Daphnia pulex: one gene and its partners. The protein of the gene in region 3 binds, or shares a complex with, the protein of the main gene of each other region. Links are inferred from orthologs where the notes say so. Each region holds a gene or a part of one and is shown on either strand. Other genes may lie near its edges. The genes, in order: general transcription factor IIH subunit 5-like, DNA-directed RNA polymerase II subunit RPB2 and general transcription factor IIF subunit 1-like.

Region 1 (5,603 bases), on a different chromosome or scaffold from region 3:
TACATTCGTGAACAGTGGCCACGGTAAATTCCGCGGTATGGAGCGTGAGACGGGCGAGACGGTTGTTTAGCAGCTTATCCGTTGCCCCGGAAACCAAGTTGACAGCAGACGAAACACCTGTTTGTACCGGTTGCAGTTTGTCGCTGACATATGAACGAGTATTTGTCATGATCTGTAAATAATTAAACAAAATTAAATTAAATACATGATTATCTTTACAATGACTGTGTAACTGCACTAAAAAAGATACCTCTTCTGGAGTCTTTGTGACAACTGGTAATGTTTCCTCTACTTTGTTAAGAGTTTTGCAGGCCAATGTATCCACAGCGTGAATAGGTTTTTCAAACGTTGTTTGAACGATCGGCAAAACACAACTAGCAGCATAGTTTATAGTGTCTTCGGCGGTAGACCATGTCTTTTTGATCAGCGACGGGCTGTAATCCTGCAATTATATTATACATGTAAGAATCACGATCACAGAGACACACAAGATTACTTGAAAATTTTACCTTGGCTTTGATGTATGCATCAGAAGCATAGTCAATAGCAGAGTGAACAACAGGAAGATTGGCAACTCGAGAGATGAACTCTGGGGTTTGTGGGATGTCAGAATGAACCATCTTCTTGAAGTTTGGTGCTGCTGGTGTTTGTGGTGCTTGCTTGCCCTTGTTTCTTTTCCCTTTAAGATGATATTTATGATGCATGATCACTTAAAAAATAAACATCGTAATAAATACGAATAAATAGCATACTGTTAACTTTTATGACTAATTTCTCACTTATCAACACTCCAAAGTGAAACAATTTCTTATTTAATAAATTCTCAGTTATTTAACTCTAATTGCAACTCCAGAAACTAAAACAAAGTACTCTAATACAACTTATTTATACACAGCTTAATTAAACATCAATCAATTTCTATTACCTTATTGTATTTAAAATAAAACAGACTCACGCTAATTGTATACCGTAGACGCTGGAACTCTGGAGAGATCCACTCAAGACGACGGAACACGATGACTGAATGAAGAAACGAGATCTCGACGAATATATATACTAAAATAAATGCGCCTGAAATGCGACAAATGGGACGCAAGTGCAAGAAGGATGGGAAGAAAAGGAGAAACCATTCGATCTGATAAAAAGGGGTCGAGTTTCTTTAGCGTTATTCAGACGTACTATCAAGGTCATTTATAGGCTTATGTATTTCGTCGCCTCGTGTCATTTTCTAAGTATTTGTTGTGACTGTCTTTTCAACCCTCTTCCCCAACACGTGCATTGCCCCCTACCTCCTTAATAATCAAGCCTTCAGGCTTCAGCAAATGAAATTTTCTAGGACTACCGAGCTTCATGTAATTTGTGCTGTTGCTCCATATTTATAATTTGCCCAAAATCAAAAGGATTTTTATATGAGCATTTTAATACACTTTAATCATAGTTAGAGGAGCGCTGATTTATTTGTTCATTTAATAAGAAAAAGTATAATCGAAAAGGGTTTATTGATGAGATGACAAGTAAGAAAGCAATGGAATATTATTAGGCGGTCCACTTCAAGCAACGCGTGTCTTGATGAGTACCTAAGCATTTGACGCTACAGTACCTTGCGCCACAAGATAAACAGGTGTAACTACAAGTAAATCCACAAACAGCACAAAAATGACGTTCGGGAAACTTAGATGGTGGAACTTGAGCTGAAACATAATTTGGGGGCTCTGGGCGATTAACCTGTTCTTCCTCCAACAGCTGTGCAAAGGATTTTCGAAACCTGTAAAAGAGGAGAAATTACTTCAATAGAATTACACTTCGTTTCAGCAATTAATATTAAACAAAATACCGTTGTTTGAAAATTTCGAAATTTTTAGATTTCCTTCTTCTTGTTTGTTTACCATCAAGAGACTCTTCAAACTTGGGGATCTTTTTGCTTAGTACTGCATAAATATCCAGAATTAATGAAAGATCTGAAAACTAGCCAACTTACAAAAATACCTAAATTGGCATGAGGGTCATCATGAAAATTATCTTGCTCAAGTGCTTCCAATGCTTTCCTTGCTCTTCTCCTACGAGCTGCCTCATCCAAAACCCTTCTGGAATTGGCATCCTTCTGACGGGCTGACTCTCTCTGAGATGAATTCATGATGATAGATAATTTACTCGATTTCTCTTTCTGCCAAAGGAAAACTGATCCTGTCCATCAAATCATCAATTCTAGACTGCAAAACTTCCAGATATTCAGGTGCCTAACAGAGAAAATGTCAAAAAGATAAAAATACAAAATATGAGAAAATAGAAGTATTTTTTAAATTTTACAATGAAAACGTGAGTTTCATCCAAATCTTGAACTATGAATTTGTTGCCTAGAGCATGTGTCTCGTCTAAATGAAGAAGCAATTGTTTCATAGCAGCATCACATTCAACCTTTGGGTAATAATACAAATTCAAGTATAAATTTAACAATTAAGCACCATGTAAAGAAAAGGTAAACCATTATAAGTTGCCACCTGAGATACTTATTAATTTCTAAATCTATGACTATTTCCACGGGATAGTCCGATCGAATATTTTGTGCTTTCTTTCTGACAAGAAACTTTTACCAGCACAGTCAATTTCACTAGTGATTGAAGTAAGTTAAAATACCATACTTCAAATACAAAGATATAATAAATCAAGTGGCATTTATAAGTTTTACCGTAAATTATTACCAGAATTCCTTTAGTTACGTTTACCATCTTGCCCCATTGGTAAAAAGTAAGTAAGTAACTGATCGTCTGATCACCATTTTGGATTTTTGGCATCTTCTTTCAGCACTTCCAGCTTTTGATTGGCGTCGGTAGGTGGCGTCTTAAATTGAGCGGGAAAGGAGTTTGTTGGCGCATTATATAAAAATTTACAAGACTTCCATTCATAAAGGTTTGGTTTCACTTCAAGAAAACTAAGAAAAATTAAATCTTTTAATGGGAAAAAGGAAGCAAGAGTCTGAAAAAATTGTATATTGAAATACTGCGACCAGTACCGAGAGTCCGAGACACTAAAAAGAAAATGATTGGGTAGGATATTCGAGGCGCATCTGGGCTTTAATTGCCCTACATGGAAGAAAAATTCGAATGTACGCAAATGAGGAAAATTACTAGTGAAGTGACCAAATAATGAAGCACAGCGAATTTGTTAAATGTTGGCACTTGAATGGGATTTTATCGAGGAAACCTAAGATCTTCACATTGGAAGGTAAGAGTGCCAAGGGTGTTGAAACAGCAATCAAAGCTGAATAAACAGTCAAAACAGTAGAGAAGAATTCCTTTTGGTTTAAGTGACAACTGAAAATTGCTGTTAAAGACGACGCACAGTGCTATTGAGGTTGTTGTTGTTGCATTTGTGCTTGCATTTGAGCCAACATCTGTTGCATACGTCGTAGCTCCGCCTCTTTTTCCTGTGAGAACAAAACAATGATGCAAACGGTCGAAACACTATTTCCATTGTCTATTAATAACACAATAGTTACTAACCTGAAGTATTTTTTCTTTCTCACTAATCTGCTCCGGAGCAGCCGATGGCGCGGTGGAATTAGTTGGCCCAGCGGTTTTTCGATTCGAAGCTACACCTTTAGCAAGACGTTCTGATCGGTAGTTCTCATAGTGAACATCTTGTGTTACTTCCTGTAAATCTTGTAGCTGTTGACTAAATAATGAAAGAATTAAACGTTAGTGCAATGCAAGATTTTCGATCTTTGACGAGTCAAACAAGTTACATCAGCATCGTTCGGAGTTTAATGAAATCGCAGTGTTCAGGATTTTCAACTTCAACGACACCCCATGGATACTGCCGTCCGCGGACCTTTCGGCCCTTAACTTCAATCAACGTATTGGCCCCACATACAGCAAAAGGTCTGAATAAATGAATTATATTATTATTATTATTATGAATGAATTATAATTGTTATTAGTCTGAATGAATTATTACATACACTGCGTCTTTAAGCTGACGAACTTGCTCTTTGTAGTCTTCGTCTTCATCCGAATCGCAATCGGGAAGTGGGTAAATACGAATTCCGTTTGCCTCAATTTCTTCCATGACCTAATAATTTTTTAGTTAAACAAGTTTATAATAAATCTAAATGTTGGTCACAATTTTACCCTTTTCTTCAACCGAGCAATTTCTTTCTTTGTTAGCATATCTGCTTTAGCGATTACAGGCACGATGTTGACTTTGTGATGCAGCATTTTCATAAATTGCGTATCAAGGGGTTTAAGCCTATTTAGGAAAAGATTAGCCAATACATTCTGTGAAATCTAGTTGAATCACGAGTGGAATCTATCATACCCATGTCCATATGGAGAAATGAAGTAGAAACAGCAATGGACCCGGTTATCGACTATGTTACGGCGGTTTAACCCACTCTCATCGCGCAGGAAACGCTCAAATTGGTCATCAATATACTGAATTATTGATCTGAAGCTAAACAAAATTAAGACAATTTAAAATTAAATCAAAAATGGGCCTTAAAAAGTGATTTTTTTTCATTACCAATCTGTATTATCAATAGCATCTCCAAATCCAGGTGTATCAACCACTGTAAGGCGGAGCTTGACTCCCCTTTCTTCAATTTCCACAGTAGAAGCATCAATTTTGACTGTCTGCTTTGTGCGTTCTGTGAAAAAATTATTCTATTATGACCGTTGAAGCATTTTCTAGCTAAATTCTAAGCACCAACCTCCAGCTGATGGAATATTTCGTTCAGGATAAAGATCAGTCAAGAATAAACTATTGACTAGTGTTGACTTGCCAAGCCCAGTTTCTCCTAATGGATTCAAAATAAAAATCTTTAGAGTTGATGACATGAAATACAATTGCTTTGTCATTACCGACAACCATCAGAGTAAACTCAAACCCTTTTTTAACAGATTTTCTGTGAACTTGGTTAGGCAAATTCGCGAACCCTACGTATCCCGGCATTTCCGGGTTGGTAAACTGTTTCAATAAGAGAGTACATGTTTAAGTATCATTCGTGTTTCATTTAGACAGTAAACAAATCGCACGAAAAAATTAAGAAAACAAATAACCGTTACCCCGCCAGGATTTTTAATTGACTCAGCAGACATTATATGAAGATAATATAAACAAGAGTTTGAAGAAGATAAAAATAATCAAAAAACAGAGTGACAGTTATCAAATATCAAGTCCACGACCGAAAACCGTAGTGGCGGCGCTGCAATCTTATGGGTGTGTACGACCCAAAACGCTCTTGTTATTTCATGAATTTTGAATTTAAAAAGACAAAAAAATAAAAAAGGAAAAAAATTTGTGTAATGAATCATCTTATTAGATCGCAATTTATTATTAGAAAAAGAAGAATGTAACACAAAATCAAAAAACTTCAACGCTGGAAACTTCAACCAGTCAGCAGACGATTTTTTTGTCATGTGTTCCTTAATTTCGTTTGCGTTGACTTTTGTTGACAGTTAAAAAAGTTCGGAAGTAAACGTTTTGTTAACAAACTATAAACGATGTCAGGTAAACCACGTCCTTGTGGATGCAAAGGGTACCGCTCTTGCTTGCTATGTGAAAAAGAATTTAATCTATTACCTTTTAAGGATGACTCATTTACAGCA
Region 2 (6,907 bases), on a different chromosome or scaffold from region 3:
TCTTTGAAAACAGCATTTGACTAGCGGCGAAAGAGTTTAACCGTGTCTGATTCCAGGATATTGAAGGCAGCAGGCAGCTAAACCAGTCCTTCACACAAGGCAGAAAAAACGTATTTTTCGGGACCTTTTTCCCACCTCGTCCTAGTGCGTCTTACATTTTGATTAATCAAAGGCCATCCACACCAAAAAGCCTTTTTTTCTTTTCTCGTTTGGGCATATTACATATATAGACTGTGTTCAGGCAAATTAAATGACTGGTCCTTTTCTGGCTTTCAGCCAACTAAGAACCAAGCATCACCTAGCAGAAACTGTTATCAGATACGAAATTAATGATTTTTAAATGTAACATAAGACAATCTTATTTAAATATTTTTACCTATGCACTAAAGTTAACAGTAGAGTCAACTGATGATACAGCGAATAATGCTGCACAATAGAAATTATTCGGTACTTTAACTGAACATAAGTTTCTATGTTTTCCGATTTCGCCCAGTAAAAATAACATAGCGAATAAGAAAAATGTGCGGAACCTGTTCTTTCTCTCTTGAATCGAAGACGCCGAAAAATTTTGAGAACATGTAAACCAGTTTGCTGTTTATGCGCTTCGTTTTTAGATGTATCTAAAATCGTGATGTTGCTTATTCTCCACCCTGTGGACAACTTGTTGATGATCAAGCTTGATAATTTTTTTTTTCAAGGATGACTTGCTGGCGAAGACTTCTGGAATTTGCCAGTTACGGAAAAGGTGTGACCAGTCGCAGACCCGACCTATAAAAACCCGCCATCCGACACATCTTCCTCAGTCGAACGCAGATATTGCTCAGTACAACCACTTATTACTCGCAATATCCAGTAATTTTCAAACTGAAAATGTCATTCATTATCCTGCTCTGTCTTGTTGCCTTCGCTTCGGCTGCTCCCCGTAAGTTAAATCATTAAAATATTATTAGAACATAAAATCTAGCTGTTTAATTGAAATTGGCTTTTCATTTTTTAAATTTTGACAGAACGAGCTGCCGTTCCAGTCCTTCAATTAGACCCCGTTTGCCTATTGCCTCCAGTTGCTGATTCTACACAAAACTGCAATAACTACTCCGTCAAGTACTATTTCGATCCGGTCGATGGCGACTGCGAAGATTTCCTTTATTCCGGATGCGGCGCCACTGAAAATGTTTTCAACTCCGAATTGGCCTGCGAACTCCGCTGCGAAAATGTCCACGATCAATTGAACAGTCACGAGAGCATCGAGGTCTTCGGGCGCTATTGGGATTAATTGCAACGCACATCTTTTTTCATGCTCTGTTTCAATCGTGCAATAATTTTTTTTCAGTTTGATGTGTTTGTTGAATTTCAATCCAGGTTATACTGTACCAACTTATTATTGTTGACATTTTTCTCAATCCGCAGTTATCTTTTTTTGTTAACTTCCCATGTAATCCGATATAAATACAGTTGAAGTTTGATTAGAATACATTTTTTCAGTTTTAATATAATCAAGTTGGTTTACAATTAAAATTTAATTTAATTCAATAAATGAATCAAATCAATATAAATTATACAAATAAAACGGAAAACATAAAATTCGAAGCCAATTCGAATTCTCTCTATAATTCCGAGCTTATGTTTAAGTAAGTACATTTGAAATTCTGATATAAAGAGCCCGGAGCTAAATAAATAATTGTGCAATCATGTCGTGCATATATTTTTCAAAGGAAGACAATGATCAAGATGATGAACTGTACAAACCGGTTATCGATATGTGTGTGTTTAATTCTTTTGCGATGCGCGCTTTTCTCTTTTCTCTTCCTTTAGGGGTGAATGATTAAGCGGTTATTTTTATTTTGGTTACATCGCGAAAGGTCAAATTCATGTTTTTTCCAGCTATAATGCCCGATTGCAGGGCTGTAATTATCTCTAGCGGGACTATAAGTACCAGCCGGTCGACTCCTTCCTTCTTCAGTCGAAAGCAGAAGAAGGTTTTTCCCATTTGCTCCATTCAACTCCATAAACTTCAACCGGAAAATGTCGGCTACGTTCGTCGTTATGCTCTGCCTCGTCGCTTTCTCCTCTGCTGCTCCTCGTAAGTGATTTTTTAAATCTAAAATTTTAGTTTTATGTAACATGGGCTTTTTCAAGCAATGCTCTTTTACGATTTATGAATATATTTGAATAGAATTGGCGGTCCCAGTACCGGTATTTGCTCAACGACCATTGGATCCGGTTTGTCTCTTGCCACCACTCAACCCCAAAGTGCGTTGCAATCAATTTTCCATCAAGTGGTACTACGACTCTGCTACCAGGGATTGTGAAAAGATTTTCTACACTGGCTGTGGAGGATCTGAAAATCTATTCGCCAGCGAAGACCTTTGCGAATTGCGCTGTGATCAAGATAATTTCGACAGCTACGAGAGCGTTGAGGACTTCCAGCAATATCCCTCGTTGCAGAAATTCAGATATTTCGTTCTTGGCAAGTAATCAATTGATGTAAAATGCTTTTCTCTAGCACAACGTTGTTATTCTTTTATTTTAAAAAGTAATTTAAAGAATTGTTCTTACATTGATCACATGGATTGTCTTTCAATGTAATCTATATTATTCAGTTAAAATTAATTTTGAATACACTTCTTATTTACTCACACAATACGAGTTGTTTCGTGTTTTAAAGAAAATATTTTTTTACCGACTTTTAAATAAACCGGCGAAATTAAAATATATCCGGCAACGCCACCTTGCGTCTCATTTTCGATTTGGCCGGCAGATGTCGAAATTGAGTTTTTCCGACAAGTGCGACAACAGTGAACGAAAGTCGACTGCCGGCTGCAAAGGCCAACGAATCTTTACATTGCAGTCGTTTTCTAATTCATAATTAATTTGTCGATTCGTATAATAACACAATGTACGATCAAGACGAAGGTAACATCAAAATATGATGATATTCATACATTTTTTTCTCATTCTAACGTGTCTTTTACTTAAGATCCGATCGAGGATGAAGATGGCGAGGAAATCTCTTCAGAGCTTTGGCAAGAAGCCTGTTGGATTGTCATCAACGCATATTTCGATGAAAAAGGTCTTGTGCGACAACAGCTTGATTCGTTTGATGAATTTATTCAGATGTCTGTACAAAGAATTGTTGAAGATTCACCTGCCATTGACCTTCAGGCAGAAGCCCAGCATTCTTCGGGGGAAGTAGAAAACCCTCCGAGATATGTCCTAAAATTTGAGCAGATTTACCTCTCGAAACCTACACATTGGGAGAAAGATGGTGCTCCGACAGCCATGATGCCTAATGAAGCAAGACTAAGAAATCTCACCTACTCTGCCCCGTTGTATGTTGATATCACGAAAACTGTGCACAAAGAAGGGGAAGAGCAGGTCGAGACACAGCATCAGAAAACATTCATTGGCAAAATTCCTATCATGTTGAGATCCACTTATTGCCTGCTGAATGGAATGAATGATCGTGATTTGTGTGAATTGAATGAATGCCCTCTCGATCCTGGTGGATATTTTATCATCAACGGCTCAGAAAAAGTATTGATTGCTCAAGAGAAGATGGCCACAAATACAGTGTATGTCTTCAGCATGAAGGACGGCAAATTCGCTTACAAGACAGAAATTCGTTCCTGCTTGGAACACTCGTCACGTCCAACCTCCACCTTGTACGTCAACATGTTGGCACGTGGTGGTCAGGGCATCAAGAAATCCGCCATCGGCCAGCGTATCATTGCCATTCTGCCCTACATTAAGCAAGAAATTCCCATTATGATTGTGTTCCGAGCCTTAGGTTTCGTGGCCGATCGAGATATTCTCGAGCACATCATCTACGACTTTGAAGACCCCGAAATGATGGAAATGGTGAAACCTTCGCTGGACGAAGCCTTCGTCATCCAGGAGCAGAATGTTGCCTTGAATTTCATCGGTGCTCGCGGTGCCAGGCCTGGTGTCACCAAAGAGAAGCGTATCAAGTACGCCCGTGAGATTCTCCAAAAGGAAATGTTGCCTCACGTTGGTGTGTCCGACTTTTGCGAGACGAAGAAAGCCTATTTCCTCGGCTACATGGTCCATCGCTTGCTGCTGGCTGCCTTGGGACGCCGTGAGCTGGACGATCGTGATCACTACGGCAACAAACGTCTGGATCTCGCCGGACCGTTGATGGCTTTCCTCTTCCGAGCCCTTTTCAAAACTCTCATGAAAGAAGTCCGAATGTACGCACAGAAATTCATCGATCGAGGAAAAGATTTCAATTTGGAACTGGCCATTAAGACCCGCATCATCACCGACGGACTCCGTTACTCGTTGGCCACAGGAAATTGGGGAGACCAGAAAAAAGCCCATCAGGCCCGCGCTGGTGTCTCTCAGGTGTTGAACCGATTGACTTTCGCTTCGACCTTGTCACATTTGCGTCGCCTCAATTCGCCCATTGGTCGTGACGGTAAACTGGCCAAACCTCGTCAGCTCCAGTAAGTCATTGATTTCAAATTATTTTCATCGGCTTTTGTTTATTACATAACATTTTTTAAAACTATTTTAGCAACACGCTGTGGGGAATGGTTTGTCCAGCCGAAACGCCCGAAGGAGCTGCTGTCGGTCTCGTCAAGAATTTGGCTTTGATGGCCTACATTTCAGTCGGTTCCCAACCGTCGCCCATCCTCGAGTTTTTGGAAGAGTGGTCCATGGAGAACTTGGAAGAAATCGCTCCGTCTGCCATTGCGGATGCCACCAAGATTTTCGTCAACGGTTGCTGGGTGGGTATCCATCGCGACCCGGAGCAGTTGATGGCCACCCTGCGCAAACTGCGTCGTCAGATGGACATTATCGTGTCTGAAGTATCGATGGTGCGCGACATCCAGGACCGTGAAATTCGAATTTACACGGACGCCGGCCGTATTTGTCGTCCATTGTTGATCGTCGAGAACTGCAAATTGTTGCTGAAGAAGCGCCACGTTGACATGCTCAAACAGCGCGAGTACATCAATTTCAGCTGGCAGGAACTGGTGGCCACTGGTGTAGTCGAGTACATTGACACTTTGGAGGAGGAGACGGCCATGATTGCCATGTCGCCCGAGGACTTGCGCCAGGTAAATTTTCTGCATTGATTTTTTCTTTCCCTACCCCACCCCATCCAGCCGTTGAATGTTTTGCTTTGTTTATCCAGGGTAAAGACGCCTACTGTACGACGTACACGCATTGCGAGATTCATCCGGCCATGATTTTGGGAGTTTGCGCCTCGATTATTCCGTTTCCCGATCACAACCAGTCGCCTCGTAACACTTACCAAAGCGCCATGGGTAAACAAGCCATGGGAGTGTACATTACTAACTTCCACGTCCGGATGGACACTCTGGCCCACGTCCTGCAGTACCCTCAGAAACCTTTGGTCACGACACGCTCCATGGAGTACCTGCGCTTCAGAGAGTTGCCCGCCGGCATCAATTCGATTGTTGCCATTCTCAGCTACACCGGATACAACCAGGAGGATTCCGTCATCATAAACGCTTCCGCCGTCGAACGAGGATTCTTCCGCTCCGTCTTTTTCCGATCCTACAAAGATCAAGAGTCTAAACGATCGGCCGATCAGGAGGAAACGTTCGAGAAGCCTTTCCGCGATCATTGCCAGGTAACCGATCAGAATTCCGGAATTTTTTAACTTCTTCGGTAATCACATTTTGTTTTCGTCTAGGGAATGAGAAATGCCATTTACGACAAGTTAGACGACGACGGCATCATTGCACCTGGACTTCGTGTGTCTGGCGATGACGTGGTTATTGGCAAAACGATCACTCTTCCGGAGAACGACGACGACCTGGAGAGCACCACTAAAAAGTTCTCGAAACGGGACGCCTCCACTTTCCTGCGTCACTCGGAGACGGGCATTGTGGACCAGGTGATGCTGACGTTGAACGCCGAAGGCAACAAGTTTTGCAAGATTCGCGTCCGCTCGGTCCGCATCCCGCAGATTGGCGACAAATTCGCCTCCCGTCACGGTCAGAAGGGTACGTGTGGAATTCAGTACCGCCAGGAGGATATGCCGTTCACTTGCGAGGGCCTGACTCCCGACATCATCATTAACCCGCACGCCATTCCGTCTCGTATGACAATTGGTCACTTGATCGAATGCCTTCAGGGCAAAGTGTCGGCCAACAAGGGCGAAATCGGCGACGCCACTCCGTTCAACGACGCCGTCAACGTCCAAAAGATCTCGAACCTCTTGCAAGAGTACGGCTATCACCTGAGAGGCAACGAAGTGCTCTACAACGGCCACACTGGTCGCAAGCTCAGCGCTCAAGTCTTTCTCGGCCCGACCTACTACCAGCGTCTCAAGCACATGGTGGACGACAAGATCCACTCTCGAGCCCGAGGTCCGGTCCAGATCCTCGTCCGCCAGCCCATGGAAGGTCGTGCCCGCGACGGCGGTCTCCGATTCGGAGAGATGGAACGAGATTGTCAAATCGCCCACGGAGCGGCTCAGTTCCTGCGCGAGCGTCTCTTTGAAGTTTCCGATCCTTACCGCATCCACGTTTGCAACCTCTGCGGAATCATCGCCGTGGCCAATTTGCGCAACAACACGTTCGAGTGCAAGGGCTGCAAGAACAAGACGCAAATCTCCCAAGTTCGGCTCCCCTACGCTGCAAAGCTCCTATTCCAGGAGCTCATGTCGATGAACATTGCACCCCGTTTGATGGTCATCTAATCTCCCCATTTTCTTTTCTTCTTCTTCTTTTTTTCTCCCGGGGTTCCTTTTCATCCGTTTCGATTAAATCCTACCCCCTTCTTGTGTTTGCCCGCCGGGTTTTTCTGAAATTACGTGTCGACTCGAAAAGTTGCCGAATTAAACGGTGGAAAGATAAAAAGACGAGAAAAATTCAAACTTGTTTTATCGACCCTGTCGTTATTTAAATCTTTT
Region 3 (6,953 bases):
ATCATCGTGGACCATTTCATGTTTAAAAAATCCCCCCGTTGGCCTGAAGTGAAATAGCTTTGAAAATAAGACATTCTACCCAGACATATCATTCTTTCTCTTTGGGTGCATTTCATTTTCGGCCATATAAGTGTCGATCCGTCTTCTTCCAGCGCGGCGTTTTCCAATTGGCCAGTCTCGGTTGGATAACCGTAGGGGTTACGTCACGCGGACCCGTAAAACTATCGATGCGTAACAACACAGTCTGAGTGCCGGGACGTTTCAACGTGTAGGCAAATAACTGTTGGCTCTCACGAAACCTCTCCTTAAATTTCCCTATTAGGAATTGTGTGCGCATATTCCAACAGGTGAACTCCCCGTCCTGGGCCCCTCAAGGCTCGTGCGCAACGCGGGACTTTCCCTCTGAAATAGTAGCTTCCACTTACACCTACACACAATGCCAAAGTGTGTCATATACTATTGCCTTCGTTTTATCTCTACCCGCACGAATTGTATACGCAGTTGGTTATCTGTTGATTTACAGACGCCAGACGAACGAACCAGTTCGGTTGCCATACAACCAGGCGGAGTTGTACACAATTTTAGATTCCAAGCAGACACACACACGAATGATAGTGAACGAAAATAATCGAGGACTTACTTTTCACGTGATCGCCAAACAGACTGCCAGAAAATTTCCACAACCACCTGTTTTGCCTAATTAAAGAAAACAGGATTTTCTTTTAGTTGAATCCAACAGGGAAGAGATGAAACAAAGTAAAAACTTGTAGAAACAAACTCCTGACCTAGCAGACACAGTCAAATAAACAAGTCCACAAGCTCAGAACTACACGAAGCAACTCACAATGCCGACGGACCGTCACGTACAGATAACACATACGTCGTATCCTTTCCCTTCATATGGCTGGCGGGGATTCTAGCTCGGCACATTTCGGGCTGTGGTGACACGCAACGCTACCTATCGGACCTATCGAGAACAAGTGAATGAACTTTGTATTCGTAAACACGCACGGGGAAATTTGGGAAACTGTTGCACTATTGCATGTTGTACCGATAACACACACACAAGGAAATCATTTAATAATAAAAAAACAAACATTTTTGATTAAATTTCAAGGTAAACAGAAGAGGCGCATACATTTTTCTTTATGTGGAAGGATATGGGTAAATATCCTCGAGCGTCCTTGGAGCCAGCGGCCTATCTGATGGAATTTAATAGCTTGACTGCCTCGTGTTTGGCCTATGATATCAATGTAAAACCATTTTTATCAAACAATAAAATGTAGAAAAGGTTAATGCGTTATATGTCACCTCCAAATCTTCTGACGAGGCGATAGCATAATCTCGAGCTCTGGTCAAATAAGCGATAGCTTTTTCTTTATTGTTGAGCCGCAAATATGTTTTCCCCAGCATCAATAAATTCGTACTGAAACGAAACCATTCAAAATGCACAATTATTTAGAAAAATGAAAAATTAAACCAAGCCGTACCTGTAAAAATTCGGCTCAACTTCTTCCGCTCTTAGGAAATACTGCAGTGCCTCTTCGTAAGAAGATACGGGCGGTGTAGCAAACAAGGTTGAGGCAATTTGCCTCTGAAGCCACGGCAATTCAGCAACAGAAAAGCACCTAAAGTTGCACGAAAATGTGTTACGTTACATACAAAAGAAAAGTTGTTATCTTGTCATACCAGTAGCCTAGCAAATGAAATGAAGTTGCATCCTTTGGGTTGAGTTCACACGCTCTTTCTATGTGTTTCTTGACGACAAACGATTGAGAAATGCGCTCCTTTAAGCCCTCGTAGGACGCCTTTTTATCTAACAAAATAAACATCCACTTGTGAGCAGCAAAGTTTTCCGGATCAATGAGCAGCGCCCCTTCAACATAACCGTATGCTTCAAAATCTAATTCTTTTTGTTCAATTGGACTGGACGATAATTTCGCTACTTCATACGTCGCTCGTGCCAGTCGCCAAAGAATTTCGGCATTATCTTCGGCCTAAAAAAAGTTTTTCCAACATTAAAACAGAGACTGACAAATCAGTTTATTCTTATTACCTTGTAGGGCAACAGAAGACTTCTCAATTTGGTGTAGGAATGCTCATTGTACAAGACATCAGCTTCAGAAATAAGATTGGTCTTATTTTCTCTTTCTTCATCAACTTTTACACTAGCAGAGACTGCAGGTAACAAACCCAGCATCCATCCTGCAGATTAACAAGTTATTGATTGTTTTTGTTACATGAATTCAAAAATTAGGCAACTTACCAATGTTTCTTGAAACTAGAGCTGGTTTCTTAGGAACAACATTCAGGAATCTTTTCCTGTACACAACAAATGCATGGTAAACTATTCCATATATTTTTCTCCCAGAGAACGATAACACCATGACGAACGCTTTCCACAACAGAAAGAAAATAAATGACGAAAAACGAATTAGGCAGTTGAGAATAGATAGGTAATCTAATTCCATGGCGACCAAAATTGGAACTAACGAACTTCAATAGTTGAAAAATGAATAATCATTTACTTTACTTGTAATATTACTTAACAATTTAGACCTCTTTATAAAAAAACTTTTTGATTGGCCATTTTTGGATATTTTAATAAGGTAAGTGAGAAATAGCCTTTCACAATTTATCATGTGGTTCAAGGCGGGAAGTCGACAGTGCAGTCTCGACGTGAAAAGAAAAGAACTGAAGCAGACGAAAACTGAACTGGGTCGTCGTCGACTATTTTTCTTCAGTATCGGGTCGGGTATAAAATTCGTTGGCGCTGTTTAAAGTGTCCCAATATTTTTTGGCATAGAAATTTCGATCACCACCCCTTAATTTTGGCCTATAATTTAGTAACGTGCATAGTTGGGTTAGTTATTTACCATTCGTGACGAACTTGTGACGAACACATCGGTGGTGTGTCTCGATCATTGTGTCGCCGGTGAGAAGTTGTTTTGTCAATCGTTTTTCACCGTCACATCATAATGTCTGCTGTTAACAAGGTACAATTTTTTTGTCTTCTCAATCAGTTAATTCAATATTAATACATGTGTTTCTCAAGACTCCTACTGGTGGATCAACTCCTGCTGCTACCAGGGTAAAGACATTTTGGTTTTTAATTAATTAGTTCAACATAATAATATGTGTTACATTAGACTCCAGCTGCTGGTGGATCAGCTCCTGCCGCTGCTGCTTCTAATGTTCAGACTATTGACATTCGAGTCCCCAAGTAAGAATATCAGACATTACCATCTAGATTTTTGCCTTCTTAAACCGAGTTTATAATGTTGTCACAGGAACATAAACAAAAAGCTTGCCATCATGAGATTCAATGGCTCAATGGGTATTGACTTTGTACAATGGAAAGATCCAAAAATGGAAAGGGAAAACAACCAAGTCACATTCAAAGGGTTCAATGAAGATATGCCAAAGTTTGGTGCTGGGAGTGAATATGGCAGAGAGGCTCGTGAGGAAGCTAGACGGAAGAAGTATGGCATAATAAGCAAAAAGTATAATCCTGAAAACCAGCCTTGGATTTTACAACATGGGGGAAAAAGTGGGAAAAAGTTCAGAGGTATACTAAAGTTGGAAACCAAGCTAAGATAGCAATAAGAAAGTTTAGTAATGTGCAATTATATTTATTTTATTAAACAGGAGTAAGAGATGGTGGCATTAATGAAAATGCATCGTACTACGTTTTTACGCAAGCACCAGATGGTGTGTTTGATGCCTTTCCTGTGCAAGAACAATACAGTTTTCAAGCAGTTCAAAATTACAAACCACTGAGTATTGAAGAAGCAGAGGAAGGGTACAACATGAGGAACAAAACATACAACATGTTCAATGTCATGATGAGAAAGAGACTAAGGAAAGACGATGAAGACGCCGAAGAAGAGGGCGAGGAAGAAGGTGAAGGCAAAGGAAAGAAAGGCAAGAAAAAGAAGGGAGCTAAAGGTAGGCAACAAGCAAAAGTTCCACCATAAATAATGTCACAAAATTATAACAACTTTTGCATTCAGATTCTCGTTTTGGTGATGAATTGGACGATATGATGGCATCTTCCGATGACGATTCTAGCGACGGCAATGATGATAACGACGACGATGATGGAGAAAGTAAGAAAAAGAAGAAGAAAGGCAAGAAACCTGTTAAGCCGAAGAAGAAGCGAAAGAATGCGTCCGATGATGAAGCTATCGAAGATAGCGATGATGGTGATGGTGAAGGCAGAGAGTTGGATTACATTTCCTCTTCCGACGATGACGAAAGGTATGTCATTAATCTTGATGCATTTGTCGATTTTCTAACACACCCGCGTTGTTCTTTAATCTAGTGATTTCGAGAAAGAAGAAGCAAAGGACGGACTAAAGGGTGTTGCCGAAGAGGATGCTCTCCGCAAGTTGCTTAACTCGGACGAAGAAGATGAAGACGAAGAAAAGGAGGAAGAAGAAGACAAAGACAAAGAAGAGGAAGATGCTGAAGGTGCCGAAGACCAGCAAGGTGATAAGGCTTCCAAAGACGAAAAAGGCGACAAAAAGAAGAAGAAAGAAAAAAAGAAGAACAAGGATAAAAAGCCCCGCAACGAGGATTATGGTAATATCCATTTAAAAACATCGTGTGTTTGAGTCAAATAATAACGAAACATTTATCAGGATCGTCAAGCGACAGCGGTGCCGAGAGCTCAGCATCCGAACTGGAGAAAGCTAAACCGAGCCCAAAAATGAAACCGTAAGTGCAGTAATTTGGTTTCCTGACAGTTAACTGACAAACTATTTCTAGGGGGAGTGCCAACAGTTCTAGATCAGCTACTCCGACGAAACCTGAAACATCGCCGCCTAAAACAACGCTATCAGATAGCAAGCGAAAGGGAACACCTGCAGTGTCCGATGCTCTTACTGGCCAAGCAACAAAGAAACCTCGATTGGACATGGCATCCGCTGCTTCAGCTGCCTCTGCCGCTTCAGCTGCATCATCATCTAGGTATTTATAAATAATGAACTAAAATTAATCCTGAAACGTTATGTATATTTTTTCTTTTACAGTGCCAATGAAGGAGTCAATGAAGAGTCTGTTAGACGTTATTTATCCCGCAAGCCAATGACAACGACCGAATTGCTTCAGAAGTTCAAAAGCAAGAAAACTGGTTTGTCGTCGGACCAGCTTGTCCATCACATTGCACAAATTTTGAAGAAGATCAACCCCGTGAAGCAGACAATTAAAGGGAAGATGTATTTGTCGATTAAGGCTTAGCGACAATAACGATGATTGGTGTGTTCTGTTTGTGCTGCAATCACTATTGCTACTTTACTGAAATTATCTCAGGCCTTCCCTTTACGGTTTATAAAAACGGACTAGAACGGTTGTTAAAATGCGTGATTTTCGGAACGATTAAACAAATTTGCAGTTGTAAGTTTTGGTATTATTTCAACAAGTTATCTGTTATTGGAAACACTTCACATTTTTAGATGAAAAACAGCCATTGAACTGACAAGTTAACATTTCTTGGTGGTGAGCAAGGTGCTGGATATTCGTTCAGAATACTATAGAGAGAAAACTTGAAGTCGCTTTGACATGTCTGCTTCGTCGTCTGTGCAAGCCCTTTTCGCGTTTTCAATCAAGAATTCAATATCTTTCTGATAATCGGCGGAATATTCGGCGACACTTTCGACGGAGAATTTCTGGACTCGGAAAATAAACATTAAAAGTGTATCAAAAACTACAAACATAAAGTAACCTACATTAGCAGCTTCTTTCATATAATTTGCAGCAGCTTTCCAGGATGGAGCAAATCCAAATGATACAGTCTTATTCATGACCATTGTCTCAATACTAAGAATTGGATACTTTAGTTTCAGCACAAATTTTATCATAACATGCAAACCTTCTTTGAATATCATATGTGACAGAAATCAAGAGTTCATCAACTTGTGGACATAGATATATAAAGTGAGGTCCATCATTGGTATTGACAAATTTAGTTAGCCTAATTAACACAAAGTTGAAATTCTGCAGTTAAAGAAGTATGCATGAATCAAACACTCACCAATTAATTTTCTCCTCATCGTAGGCTTCATCTTCTGTCCAGTGCTGAAAGTAACATTTAAAGTCGATAAGCAGGAATGTGGCTTGGGATGCTGGGAAATAGCAAGAGAATGGCACCAAGCTTTCTGAGTCTGACCAAATGGATTCAATATTAGTTAACATACCTTAGTATCGGTAAGTGATTATATTATTATTCATTCTTTAGCTCACTATCTTACAATGTATTTGAAAAGATCGTTCGAGTCTTTCTATAAGTACGTCGTTATTCAATTCATTGTGAAAAATGGCAATGGGTTTATTTTTCCACATATGATTTTCCTTGATAAGAAGCATTTCTGACAAAAATGACGAGAACTAAAAAAGAAAGATTCAAAATTTCAAATCTTGAATGTCAAGACTCAAGAGCTCGGTCTGTATAGCTGTCTCACTCGCGCTCTGTTATTAATCTAAAAATTCCAGCAGATGTCTCTAGTGAACGGTTGTCGTCTGCACTTGTTCAGTTGTTTGTTTTTTATCAAAGTCGTCTACTCTATACTTTCTCTTCCCAGAATCTATTTGACAGAATTGGAATTTCCAAAGGAATTGTGCAATTAGCAGAATTTCAAGGGAATTTCCGATTAATGTAGAAATGGAATCTTTAGCTGATTCTACGTGTAATCTTGCAATTAAAGAAGTACAAGCAAGTTTAGACGACGAAGATGCCGATATAATTTTGAAAACAAACGATGGGACGTTGAAAGCTCACAAATTCGTTCTCAGGGGTTGCCCATATTTTGCAGCAATCGTCGATGGAAACTGGAGAGAAAGTCAAGCCTCGATCATCACCTTGGATATGTATGATACATATAGCACTACTAACAATTTACTAGATTACAAATTACTTTAAATTTCAGATTCTCGTACAAGTCAGTAAGATTTGT

The links.
Region 1: general transcription factor IIF subunit 1-like (region 3) and general transcription factor IIH subunit 5-like share a complex: the UniProt entries of both Homo sapiens proteins name them as parts of the TBP-based Pol II pre-initiation complex. The link is inferred for Daphnia pulex from reciprocal best matches to the Homo sapiens genes GTF2F1 and GTF2H5.
Region 2: general transcription factor IIF subunit 1-like (region 3) and DNA-directed RNA polymerase II subunit RPB2 share a complex: the UniProt entries of both Homo sapiens proteins name them as parts of the TBP-based Pol II pre-initiation complex. The link is inferred for Daphnia pulex from reciprocal best matches to the Homo sapiens genes GTF2F1 and POLR2B.

The regions. Positions count from the first base shown.
Region 1 is NC_060021.1:7,406,449-7,412,051, reverse strand, and holds general transcription factor IIH subunit 5-like, read right to left. Parts: upstream 2,802-5,603; 5' UTR 2,793-2,801; coding exon 2,700-2,792; intron 2,416-2,699; coding exon 2,308-2,415; intron 2,238-2,307; coding exon 2,148-2,237; 3' UTR 2,120-2,147; downstream 1-2,119. Other genes in the region: perilipin-2-like, read right to left, coding at 1-172, 251-442, 510-620; septin-1-like, read right to left, coding at 1,537-1,765, 1,835-1,928, 1,987-2,119, 3,501-3,672, 3,743-3,880, 3,959-4,068, 4,128-4,245, 4,315-4,449 and 4 more; alpha-ketoglutarate-dependent dioxygenase alkB homolog 4-like, read left to right, coding at 5,499-5,603. UniProt on the Homo sapiens protein: Component of the general transcription and DNA repair factor IIH (TFIIH) core complex, which is involved in general and transcription-coupled nucleotide excision repair (NER) of damaged DNA and, when complexed to CAK, in RNA transcription by RNA polymerase II.
Region 2 is NC_060022.1:1,079,667-1,086,573, forward strand, and holds DNA-directed RNA polymerase II subunit RPB2, read left to right. Parts: upstream 1-2,743; 5' UTR 2,744-2,894; coding exon 2,895-2,913; intron 2,914-2,977; coding exon 2,978-4,463; intron 4,464-4,534; coding exon 4,535-5,081; intron 5,082-5,158; coding exon 5,159-5,620; intron 5,621-5,683; coding exon 5,684-6,694; 3' UTR 6,695-6,871; downstream 6,872-6,907. Other genes in the region: kunitz-type protease inhibitor 1-like, read left to right, coding at 2,023-2,080, 2,174-2,475. UniProt on the Homo sapiens protein: Catalytic core component of RNA polymerase II (Pol II), a DNA-dependent RNA polymerase which synthesizes mRNA precursors and many functional non-coding RNAs using the four ribonucleoside triphosphates as substrates.
Region 3 is NC_060018.1:348,912-355,864, reverse strand, and holds general transcription factor IIF subunit 1-like, read left to right. Parts: upstream 1-2,669; 5' UTR 2,670-2,978; coding exon 2,979-2,996; intron 2,997-3,055; coding exon 3,056-3,091; intron 3,092-3,149; coding exon 3,150-3,223; intron 3,224-3,290; coding exon 3,291-3,568; intron 3,569-3,648; coding exon 3,649-3,948; intron 3,949-4,013; coding exon 4,014-4,260; intron 4,261-4,324; coding exon 4,325-4,584; intron 4,585-4,643; coding exon 4,644-4,719; intron 4,720-4,770; coding exon 4,771-4,971; intron 4,972-5,033; coding exon 5,034-5,241; 3' UTR 5,242-5,401; downstream 5,402-6,953. Other genes in the region: regulator of microtubule dynamics protein 1-like, read right to left, coding at 1,199-1,240, 1,312-1,426, 1,491-1,628, 1,690-1,997, 2,057-2,205, 2,267-2,496, 2,560-2,642; uncharacterized protein LOC124188758, read right to left, coding at 5,532-5,669, 5,730-5,820, 5,873-5,974, 6,035-6,164, 6,252-6,366; uncharacterized protein LOC124188749, read left to right, coding at 6,662-6,867, 6,927-6,953. UniProt on the Homo sapiens protein: TFIIF is a general transcription initiation factor that binds to RNA polymerase II and helps to recruit it to the initiation complex in collaboration with TFIIB. It promotes transcription elongation.